2 linked regions of the Arabidopsis thaliana genome follow. The protein of the gene in region 2 interacts with the protein of the main gene of each other region in a pairwise test. Each region holds a gene or a part of one and is shown on either strand. Other genes may lie near its edges.

Region 1 (5,453 bases), 3.8 Mb from region 2:
GTCAATTACCTAAAACCAACTCTATTTTTCACAAGAAGACGAAGCAAAAACGGCGAATTCCTTCCCAATAGAACAAGGGGTTTATCTACTTTTAACAGGGAAATGATCAGGAGCAATACGATTCTAAATTGAAACCTCAAAAACCCTTAAGCTAACACTATAATCTCCTCCAACCTTAAATCACAGTGCGATTAATCAAAAAAAATCAACCTTTCTCGATAACAGCAGATGAGAAAATCAAAACTTACCAGAGACCCACGAAAGGAACAGCAATTAGAAAGCGAAGGTCTATAAGCAGCTAGGAAGATATAATTGTCTTAATATCCGAAGCTTTAGAGAAGGAGGAATCAAATACAGAGGCTATGGGCAATGGAAAATTCGATGAAGAAGTTGAAAAGACAAGAATTTGATCGACGAATTTAGGGGAGAAAAGCAAAAGAAGAAGACGAAGAGAATTGGGTTTGCGTGGAAGAAAAGAGGAGTGATAAAATATTGATGCTTTGGAGTTTGGAGTACTAGTTTTCAATTTTCGATTTGGGCTTTTCTTCTTCCTCTTCTCTTCTCTTCTCTTCTATACAACATTACTTAACCAAAGAAACGTGATCACGAGTTCTCTTCCTCTTCTATGATTTTGGTTTTACTTTGATCTTTGGTTAAAAAGGTAATCTAACATTTATTAGCTTGAATCCAAAAAAGTCTTTGCACACACAAAAAAAAAAGTCTTGAAGCCAAAAAATTGTAATTTTTCTTTAATGTGATATATTGAATTTTATTTTAACAACTTGTATAATGGGCCGATTGTTTTGAGTGGGCACCGGCCCAGATTCTAAACAGACCCAAAAAAACAATAGTTAAGATGTACATTATATTACTAACTTTAAAATTGAGTTTTGAAAATATGATAGTGAGTCAGTTGACATAAATTTTGGATCTAGATCAGATTCTTGGTATCAAGATCAATATTTAGTCTCAGAGCATAATATAATACAAATTGATACATCTAGCTCCTTTAATTTTTTAAATGTTAATCAAAAATAAAAACTCATGAAAGTTATAATTATTTTATAACGGCATTATATTTTTTTTTGTCAACTAGACGATAAACCGATAAAAGAAATAAAAATTGGTATTTATTATTATAATCATCAAAACTTCATATATTGACATAAAACAACAAATTTAAATAAGAGTATATAGAGAAATAATAATATCGGAAAGTATAACATTTAATAAAAAGAAAAGTTGAAGTTTTGTTAGTAAGAAAATAGTAGTAATGACAATTGAAAAGAATCTCATAATCATTGAAAATTTATTGAATTCTTTGATTTAGAATAGGGATGTGGTAATATTCAATGTTTAATATTTATGTGTTTTCTTTTAATAATCAATATTTATTTCATGATTTTATATAGATTTCCTCATTAGCAAATATAATATAAAATAAAATGGAAACGACGAACCTTAATAAGAAAAAGTTCAAGTATATACAGAAATAACAATACCGGAAAAATATAACATTTAATAGACAAATAAAATTAAAGTTTTGTTAGTAAAATATTAGAAATGACAATAGAAAAAATATCATAATCATTTAAAAACTGTTTAATTCTATGATTTAAAATAAGGATGTGGTAAATATATTCAAAGTTTAGAAAGAGAAACATAGAAAACATAAACTAAACCATTGATTATATTTGATTTGCTGGGCTAACTGTTTTATCTTAATATTTTACTGTTGATAAGATTCCTTATGATGAGATTATCTTTGATTTTTCAAAAAAACTATAAATACTGAACAAGCAGCATAAACATTGCACGACGACCTTATATAAATCATGTTCATATAAAAAAAATCACAAGTTGAAAAAAAGAAATCTGGTCTCTTTGGTTTGCATCTATTAGATTCGTTCAGAGACAGCAATTCATAATGGGCCTAATTAATGGGCTTCTTCGTAGATAAGTGTTTTCGCGGGAAGCAACGGGTTAATAGGCGCGGGAGGTATACGTGGCTTTGGTACACGTAGGATTGCGCGCCAAAGACCTAAATAAATCTAAACCCTTCTTCTTCTTCCGTCGTCTTCATCGTCTTCATCTATCTCCTCCACTATCTCCTCTCTGCATCTGACACTCTATAGACATTGTTGATAAAAATGAGTACACCAGGCTCTTCTAGATCCATTCCATTCAAATCGAAGAAACGATTGGTGATGGATTCGCCGTCTTCGAAATCTCAAACCGGGAATCCAAATCCGTCTTCTGTAGCATTGCCTACGCCGGAAAAACCACTTGAGAACATGCTTAGTAGATCGAGAAACCGATCTGTGGCTTTATCAGTGAAAGAAATTCGTCAAGCCGCTGGATCTCGTCGCAGATCTGAAGATCCGGTTGCTTCATCTGCCAAAAGCAGGCTCTTTTTCGATTCATCATCATCTTCTCCTTCAAAACGTAAAAGCTCTAACAAAAATGCAGAGAAAGAGAAACTTCCGGAGAAGTAAGTTTTAATCTCTAGGGTTTATAAAAAGTTTCAATTTTTTCCCCTTTTTAACTGATTAGGATTTGGATTTGTGCAGGTACGAGAATCTGGGAAAGTTCTTTGAAGCATTGGATAATTCGATGTTGTTATCGAAATTAAGAGGTTCTAAGCCAACATTCTCCAACATTTCTAAACAAATCGAGCATTTAACCGAGAGGTAGTCTTCCTGACATTTCAATTTGAATCGTGTTTGTGATTGTCACTGATTGGATCTGATCTGAATAAATAAGCCAAATTTGGTTATTGCCTTTAAACTTTATAGAGTCGATAAGACAAATTAATAATCTAGATCGTGTTTATGGGATCTGATCTGAATAAATAAACCATTTTGATCTTTGCTTTTTATACTTTATAGGTTCGATGAGACAAAAGAATACTTTAGATCTGGGTTTTATAGATTTCTCCGATAACTTTTCTAGATTTTAGATATTCACGAGTCTGTTTCTGGTGTGTTTATATAATTCTTGTGTGGATGTATATTTCAGGAGGTTTTGTTATAGTCACTTGGCTCAAATAAAGCATATATTGCCTGAAGCGATTGAGATTAAGAGAGTATTGATACATGATGAAACTACTTGCTGTATGAAACCGGACCTTCATGTTACGCTCAATGCCGATGCTGTTGAATACAACGACAAGTCGAAATCGGAAAGTAAGAAAATCGCTCTTCGGAAAGTGTTTCGGGCTAGACTTGCGGATTTTGTTAAAGCTCACCCTCAGGTATAATGCCCTATCTATTTTAGTGATTTTGGAAGTTGCATTGTGATTTTATTCAAGTACTAATGGTGTTATTCTCTGTTTTAGGGTGATGAAGTTCCAGAGGAACCGCTTCCTGAGCCCTTCAATAGAAGGAAACCAGTTGAAAACTCAAATGTTGAAGTCAAGCGTGTTAGTTCTCTCATGGAAGAGATGGCTTCTATTCCAGCATCTAAATTGTTTTCATCTCCCATCACATCAACGCCAGTCAAAACAACTTCAAGTCTGGCTAAACCAACTTCGTCTCAGATTAACATTGCTCCAACTCCAACCAAACCAACTTCAACTCCTGCTAAACAGACTTTGTCTGAGATTAATATATTGCCAACTCCAGTCAAACCAGTGTCAACTCTGGCTAAGTTTCCTTCAACACCGGCGATTATTGACTCAACACCAGTCATTACTGCAACTCCACCTGAATTTGCTTCAACTCCTGCCCGGCTGATGAGTACTTCTCTGGCAGCTCGTCCGCTGAAAAGAAGCAACGGTCATACAAATCCAGATGATATTTCTGCTGACCCACCGACTAAGCTCGTGAGGCGTTCCTTGTCTCTGAACTTTGATTCTTATCCTGAGGATGAGAGAACTATGGATTTCACAGATGATATACCCATTGATCAAGTACCAGAAGAAGATGTATCCAGCGATGATGAAATACTCAGCATACTTCCTGATAAACTTCGACATGCGGTAATACATCTCTATTAGTGATTCCTTTTCTTCTCGTAATTTTGCTTTATACTTTTCAGTTTGAGATTAAGAAGTACAAACTGAGATTGGCTTTACTTACTGAGATTGTTTTTTTGCTCATTTCAGATAAAAGAACAAGAGAGGAAAGCGATTGAGGATCAAAATCCAGCAATCTCTCTGGCAAAAAGAAGGCGAAAGATGATCGCTTGTCTACCTAAACTTTTCAATGTCATCCATTACTTAATTCAATCGATAAGGCGTTGGGTTATCACAAAAGAAGAGCTTGTGCACAAGATCATTGCCGGTCACTCTGATATTACTGACAGAAGTAAGCCCTCTAACCACTAAGTATCTCATTATTACTTTTCTTTACATTGTTTGAAAACCATCCTAACTGTTCTTGCCTCACTTACATTTTTCAGAGGAAGTTGAAGAACAACTAATCTTACTGCAAGAAATTGTCCCTGAATGGATGTCTGAGAAAAAATCATCAAGTGGAGATGTTCTAGTATGGTGAGTCTAATATCTCACATATACTCAACTCACTTTTTCTTGGTTTTATGGATCGCTCATGTAAGCAACTTTAATATGCAGCATAAACAAGTTGGCATCTCCTCTAACAATCCGATCACGTCTTGAAGAAGAAAACAAGCAAGAGATGGCTCCACTGCTTTCTTGAGATCGTGGTTCCATCGGCTGCGGTTACTTTGGGTTCTAACTTATTTTTGGACTGCCAAATATGTTATAGTCTATTCATGAGACAGATGTGTAGAGACTACTAAGTTATAAAGTTCCTAAGTAAAGTAAAAGGGTGAAAACAAGTAGATGACAAACTATTTAGGAAGGTGTTTTCATCTTTTTCTGAATTATGACAATGAGGTTATTTCTCTATCAATAAAGAGTAATTTTATGCATTTTGTAACAGAATTCTTTATAGAACAAGACTATAAGGACCGTTGTTGTGTGAAGTATGGAAAGAGATCAGATTTAATCTCCCAACCATGACATATCTAAATCCTTGATGACAATTCTCTTTCTGATTATGTCCCTTTATATTTGATTAAATCCGTTAGACATTTTCATATATGTTAGGCAAATAACCAGTTCCTTTGGATCTAAGTTTAATTTCTCAAGCCACTTTAATACTCCTCTTAGTTCCTCTACCGAAGTTCCAAAGGGTCATTGGCCATTTGGGACTTCGGTTCCGTGAATTAGAAGAAAATTTCTGGTATATTGTGAACCCAATGTTCAATAATATTCAATTTCACAGCTTAAAAATATATTGGTTTATTTGCACAAGAGAAAAAGACAGAATGAAAAAAGAGAGAGAGGTGTGTTTCTGAGAGCATCATTTGGGCCTACTGGGCTTTCACAAAGAAAATCGCGCGAAGTATTAACGGACGGAATTCGGCGGGAGTCCACGTGGCACCATCACAAGTCGGATTCGCGCCAAATAACCTAAAATAAATACTAA
Region 2 (6,441 bases):
GTACTTTGGCTCTTTAGATTAACGAAGAAGTACGAAACAAAATCTAACTTCATTTTTTGTCTGTAATATTTATCACGCCTCTAAATATGTAAAAATCGTCTTCAACAAAATTAGTGACTAGAACTTCTGTGAATAAATTTCGAATTTAGTTAGTGATCTTTGGAATAAATCCTAATCAGATGCTCTTATAATTCGTAAGTTGAATCTGATTCGATGAAAAGATAATGAAATACTTTTCGAGCTGATAAACCCTTTAACACAAAAAAAAAAATACTTTTCGAGCTGATGCTTTGCAGAAGTCAAAGGAGTTGTGTATTTTGAACTTTATTGGGGCAAATTAGTAAATATCAAAAGTTGTGCGGCAATTTCGTACATGGGTGCGAGTAAATTTCGTTTCTTAGATCTACTGGTTCGGTATATTTTTCAGTTGTCACTGGTGGAAGCAATTTGAATCGGTTCTAATAGTCCGTTGTCCCTGGGACGTGTTGAATTCACATTTGTTGATCCTACTACCTCAGAGTTCTTCAACATAGAAACTAAAAGCAACTGCTATTGAATAAATTGCAATTAAGCTGTCTTCTCATAAAAATATCAAAAGATAAAACATTTTAAAGTAAATTTGTAAAATTCAGCTAGTTTCTGTAGTAAATAGGATATTGAGATTAAATGCAAAATAATGTAAAAATTTGAGTCTTCTGATATGACTAAGCAAGAAGAGGTGGAGATCAACATGCTTTTATGGTCATCAGTCATCCAGTTATGTATCACACCGACCTTAAAGCACCGGCTTGCAAAGAATCTTGCAGAGACGTGACAGCGCCGTCGTAGTTTAAAAAACCCATGAACCAAAACTCATGATTGTCTACCGAAATCACCTGTATGTACTTCTCTGCAGGATTGACTATGCTCGCTGATGGATTCACTGCTTTAAGTTGATGTAATGGAATTACTACCTATTTAAGAAGAAGACACAAAGTGTTCATCAATCATCAATGTAGCAAAGCTTATTACAATGAATAAGCAAATGCAATCGTATCGGATTGGTTTCGATGAAACAAGAGATGAGAAGCTGATGCAATCATGTTATTACTATCACAAAAAAAAAGTCCATGGATTTATGATTCCGTTAACAAGTCCAGATTATTTTTCTATCCAAATGAATCACTCTACGAAGGCTCCTTAGTTGATGCTACTAACAAATTATAACGAAACATTGTCTCAAGCATTGACCAGATAACCAGCCAACAGATTTCGAACAGTTAATGATCACAAAAGTAATAATATGGTGTCTTCAAAATGGCTATAATTCTGAAATGAAAGGTGTAGGACACATTACCTTGTAATAGCTCCATTCGGTTTGATCACCGTTTTTATAGGAGAGAGGGTTGTCACTACAGTAAGCAAGTTTGGCACTGGATATATATAGAACTCCCATAACTGGGCCAGCTGATGTTGACAAGTAACATGCAAAAGAATTTAGCAACTGTTCTTCGGGATCTGTCTCAAAGGTTTGTCGGAATATCTTCTCATATCCTCCTTCTGCAAAGACCTTTGTACTCTGTGCAATTCTTCCCATTGCAGCATCCGCAAAACTCGGAGCAGTTCTCACTGATTAAAAAGAGAAGATTATAAGATATATCAATCAGATAGATCTTGAATGAAAATGCTAGCGAATCAAACAAGTAAAGCACATCCAATCAAGGAAGAGATGAATTGCGAGTTCACACACAAACAATTGAAACGTATATTGAATCATGTTATTTTTCTCAGTCACCCAAATTCAAACTTTACGTCCATACTATGTAAATGCAGGCATTAGACATTTTCCCTCAAACTCCATTACTCAAACACTTACCCAGGAACTCATCTCTATCCATAACACGACCATGTCCCAAGCTGAAACTCATATCCACAGTTCTAGCTCCTAACTCACCAAAGGCTGTTTCTTCTTTTTTTTTTAATGTTCATCCAAATGTATTATCTAATCCAAGTTCCTAAAAGCAATATAGCAACTCTATCTGTTCCGGAGCATCTATTCAATATTTCACTTCTTTAACAAAAGATCTACTATATTTGAGCGCAAACATCCATTCCAACAATGCTAAACATAGAAGATCGATTCAAACATGATATGAAATACAAAAAAACTGGAGCAGTTCTCACTGACTAAAGTAGAAGATTGTAAGAGAGATCACTCAAACGAATCCTGAATAGAATATGCTAGAGAAGCGGACAACTAAAACACACCCAATCAAGGAAGACATGAGTTATAGAGTTCACACATGAACACTCTAAACATAAATTTAATCGTGTAAACTTTCTTAATTCCCCAATTTCTATAGTTTTAGCTAGTCATCAGACATTTTCCCTCCACCTCCATTGCTCAAACATTCACCAAACCACCAAGAACATCACTTGATTAGAGTGGTAATTCTTCAGTCCGCAAAAAGGCTTTTTGATCTCAAAACTAGGAGCTAATTCCCTACTACTTAGACTACATCACGAATGACCATGTCCGAAGGTCAAACTAATATCCAGCTCTTAATTCGTCAAATGGCGTTTTTGATTAATGTTCACCAAAGGCATTAAAATTCCAAGTTCCAAAGAAGTAACATGGCAACTAATACCTAATCCAGAGCACCTAATTTCAATCTGATATTTTATTTGTTACCAGACAATCTACTAAAAACTTGACTGCAAACATCACACAGAGAAAAAACAGCTTTAAGGTTATTCCGACTCTCTTATAAACACTTGTCATGGGTCAAGCTACAAAGTTTGACAGACTGAAACTGGGAGAATCTTCTTGTTCAAATCCAAGACAGAGATTTTTTAATTACTGTGATCACAAACTTGACAATATCAAAAGATCATCCTCTAATACCGAGCAGATGTGGTATTAATCTTGGTTCTGGAGACAAATCGAAGGCAAGAGATCCACGTAGAACAATTGTGATTCTAAACTATTTATGAAGATAAACCTGAGAAAAACCGAGATATTTCTTCCAACACAATATGATTCCATAACTAAAATAGTCCGTTTACTATTCTTAGCAAGAACTCAACAAGATCAAAGGTCATTGTCTTTTAATGTACTGCCTAAAGACTGAAATTCAGGGGAGTGTTCTGTTTGTAATTAAGAAAATTTATCAACACAAGCCAGTAAGAACGTCCCATTTTATAGCAACAACATGTTGAAAAGAGATCAAAGAATTGAAGATCATAAAAATACACTTGAGCACTATCGAATATGATGATAGTTACTCAATCCTAAAACCAGTACTAACCTAAACACCAACATACAACAAAGGAAGAAAACCATAATACAGCAAAAAAAATCTTTTATGTTTCTCTAAAAAAATGTAGACTTTGAGTAGAACAAGCTACTTTTAACAATACCCTATGAACAATTCTTGATTCCACAGAACTCTAAGCATTGAATTTGATTACAAATTGATATTAAAAAAAAACGAAAACTTACGGTGTTGCCATGTGTTCCCGGCAAGGCTCTCCGTCTTCTTTGCTGCTTCTGCAACCCTCTTTCCCCATCTACCAAGCACTCCTTTCACAGTCTCCATCGTATCTGAATCCAATTCACAGACACAGAGAGAGATCCACAAAAAGGTAAATAAGGCTACAATACACAATCTCAATTCTCACCGCTACGATCACAACACTCTTACCTTTCAACGAAGCATCTGAAGTCTCAGCTGGAGAACGAGCAATATACGGATTAGATCCAGCCGAAGAAGACGATGCAGCTTTCTGATCCGGTTCCTGAGATCCAGACACCAATTCGGGGCTCCAATGTACAGATTTCTTCGATCCAGACGATGTTCGACTCGGAGCTTTCACCGGTGTCGAATCGCTTCCCTTCGTCTCGATTTCAACCTCATCGGACAAGGCTATCTCAGTGTTCGCATCCTCGACTCCCTTCGTTTTCGAATCGACGACGCTTAGCGATGGATCCTTCACCGGGACCTCAGTCTTCACTACGGTATCTCCCTTCGGCGGCTCCATAAATTGGTCTCCAAAGACGGATCGTGGCGAGTACGGCGGCGCGTGAGATAAACGGTTTGTTTGAGTTTGAATTTTGCAAGGATTGGTATTGGGACTAATGGTATCGTTCCCTTTGCTCTTTTTTTTTCTTTGGTAATTTTTTTTGTGTTATATATATATACCAGTAAATACAGATTTGTTCCCTACATTACATATGATGATAATTATGATACCTTTGATTTTCTTTGTTAGACAATTATGAGGTATGACTAAGATCAATAGGGACATGAACATAAGAGTCTATGTTTTTTTCTATGTAAGATCAATACCTTTGATGTTTTGAATTTAAAAAGAGGTTCAATGTATGCAATATATTATCAGAAAATGTTTGAGGAGTAATATGAGTTGTATAGACTTCACACGTTCTTCACCCAACTACCTACTACTGAGATTCACATAGATTTGATGAACGGTTAAGGACACTAAATCTACAGGAGACAATATCACTTCTTTTACCTATAATACATTGTCATATAGCACTCGGTCCCTTATGATAGCTAACCGAACCAAATTTACATACTTAGCATCTCCAATCCCACTTTAATTTTGTCCTCTAAAACTCTATGATATAGTACATTCTCTCCATCCTCATTCTATATGTTACTTTAAAATAGAGAAAATTGTAGGATTACTCTATATATAGAGTGATAGATTGGAGATAAATCATACTCTATTCTAGAGGAAATAATAGAGATCATTAGAGTGGTCAATTTACAAGACAATGAGAAAATGATAAAGGAAATGGACGAGAACTAGATAGTAATTACGTGTGAAGAATATAGAGAATTTGGCAGAGAAATAATAAATTGAGTGAACAAAAGTACACTTCTTAAAATTTAAGGAAAGTCTAGGTTTTATATTTTTGGAGGATCTTTTATCATGTTTTATAAACTAAATAACGTTGGTGAATTGATCAAAAAAATTATTTTTCTTTTTAGATTGTTTGAAGGTGGAAAAATATTTCGGTAGTCAATGATTTGATTAAAATAATTGGATTGCGGTTCCAAACTTGAGTTTCGTTGAAATTATTTTTTTTACTTTTTTTGCACTAAAAGATAGATTATATATGAAATTATATAAAAGTGGCGATTAACAAGATAATTCCATAAACTAAGCCGACGGATAACATGAAATCTTCTGAAACTAAAGCCCAAGAATATGGGGAGCTTACCAACACTACTGCTAATGGAGTTTTGTTGGACTTATATATCAGAGTTTATTGGTACAATCTACAATAATAACATCTAATGGAGTTTTTTTTTTTTTTTTTTGGGTAAATGACATCTAATGGAGTATTGATTATTTAATATTCTAAACAAAAAAAAATCAATTGAATATCTCGTGAAGTTTTTTAAGCACGGTGTATTTATTTAGAGGTTTCAAGATGTTCTATTTTCTTTAATGTATATAGATTATAAATTAAAATACTAATCAATAACTCCCCTTAGATCTTAGATTTTTTCATATAAGTGATAACGGAAAGCTACTTTGGGCTTGATAAAATACGAAAAGTTACGAGGTTAGGCCACATCCACGAAAAGCTAGAAAGAGAGGCCTGCCAAGGCCTCGTCCAAACTTGTACTACTAATCAAATTAATTAAAATTTCTTTATTGGTAACTTTTTAATATATTCATTTGGTCAAAGCTGGCAGGAAAAAAGTTTTCAACTTATAATTTTCTTATGAAGAAGATACTGATACAATGCATATTAAGGTCAAAGCAAGAGTCTAACAATTTATTATTCAAGGAATATAAATAATTGTTAGGTAGGTTCTTATTGAAATGAAGCATTTCACACCGTAATAATGATATAGCTGTAGAATATGAACAATGCGCGTTTGCTTGACTGTTTCGTTGTAAGTTTGTAACAATAATGGCCACCAAGTAATCTGTCACTAGAATATTGCAACAAAATAAAAACCATAAATATAACTATAATGATCTACTAATTTATTAATTTAATTAACATGAAAATATGACAGCTTTTGCCAGCCCTTGCTCGTATAATCAGTCCAGATAACACATTACAACGAAACATATAAAATAACTTTTTTCAACAGAAACGATTATAATATACATCTAAAATAATTAACAGTTGAAAATTTTGATAGACATACTATATATGAATATGAACTTAAATAATGACCCATTTTTCGTATAATGTTAATTATTTACTCGTAAACGCGTTATTTCCACGAAACATTAGGCAAAACTCAAGTTAATTTACGCCTGGCATTGTAACGCGGTTAACCAAAAAGCAAATTACGCAGAGTCAAATCATATCTAAAAACCAATATAAACATAACACGTGTCAATACTTAACTGATCTCAGAATTAACATCGTTAAGAGAAAACACGTGGCAGAGATCTGTGTATCCGTTT

Evidence for each region. Proteins that work in one complex are often made in the same cells at the same time.
Region 1: the proteins of GEM (region 2) and CDT1A interact in a two-hybrid assay, tested with the Arabidopsis thaliana proteins (one study listed by BioGRID).

Annotation. Positions count from the first base shown.
Region 1 is NC_003071.7:13,326,887-13,332,339, forward strand, and holds CDT1A (CDT1-like protein A), read left to right. Parts: upstream 1-1,975; 5' UTR 1,976-2,150; coding exon 2,151-2,491; intron 2,492-2,570; coding exon 2,571-2,690; intron 2,691-3,018; coding exon 3,019-3,253; intron 3,254-3,337; coding exon 3,338-3,979; intron 3,980-4,105; coding exon 4,106-4,307; intron 4,308-4,401; coding exon 4,402-4,492; intron 4,493-4,573; coding exon 4,574-4,658; 3' UTR 4,659-4,945; downstream 4,946-5,453. UniProt on the Arabidopsis thaliana protein: Member of the pre-replication complex. Component of the plastid division machinery. Promotes polyloidization and regulates endoreduplication. Involved in the coordination of cell and plastid division.
Region 2 is NC_003071.7:9,539,102-9,545,542, reverse strand, and holds GEM (GRAM domain family protein), read right to left. Parts: upstream 4,416-6,441; 5' UTR 4,021-4,415; coding exon 3,684-4,020; intron 3,584-3,683; coding exon 3,482-3,583; intron 1,609-3,481; coding exon 1,337-1,608; coding exon of another isoform or gene 1,301-1,336; exon of another isoform or gene 954-1,300; coding exon 765-953; 3' UTR 505-764; downstream 1-504.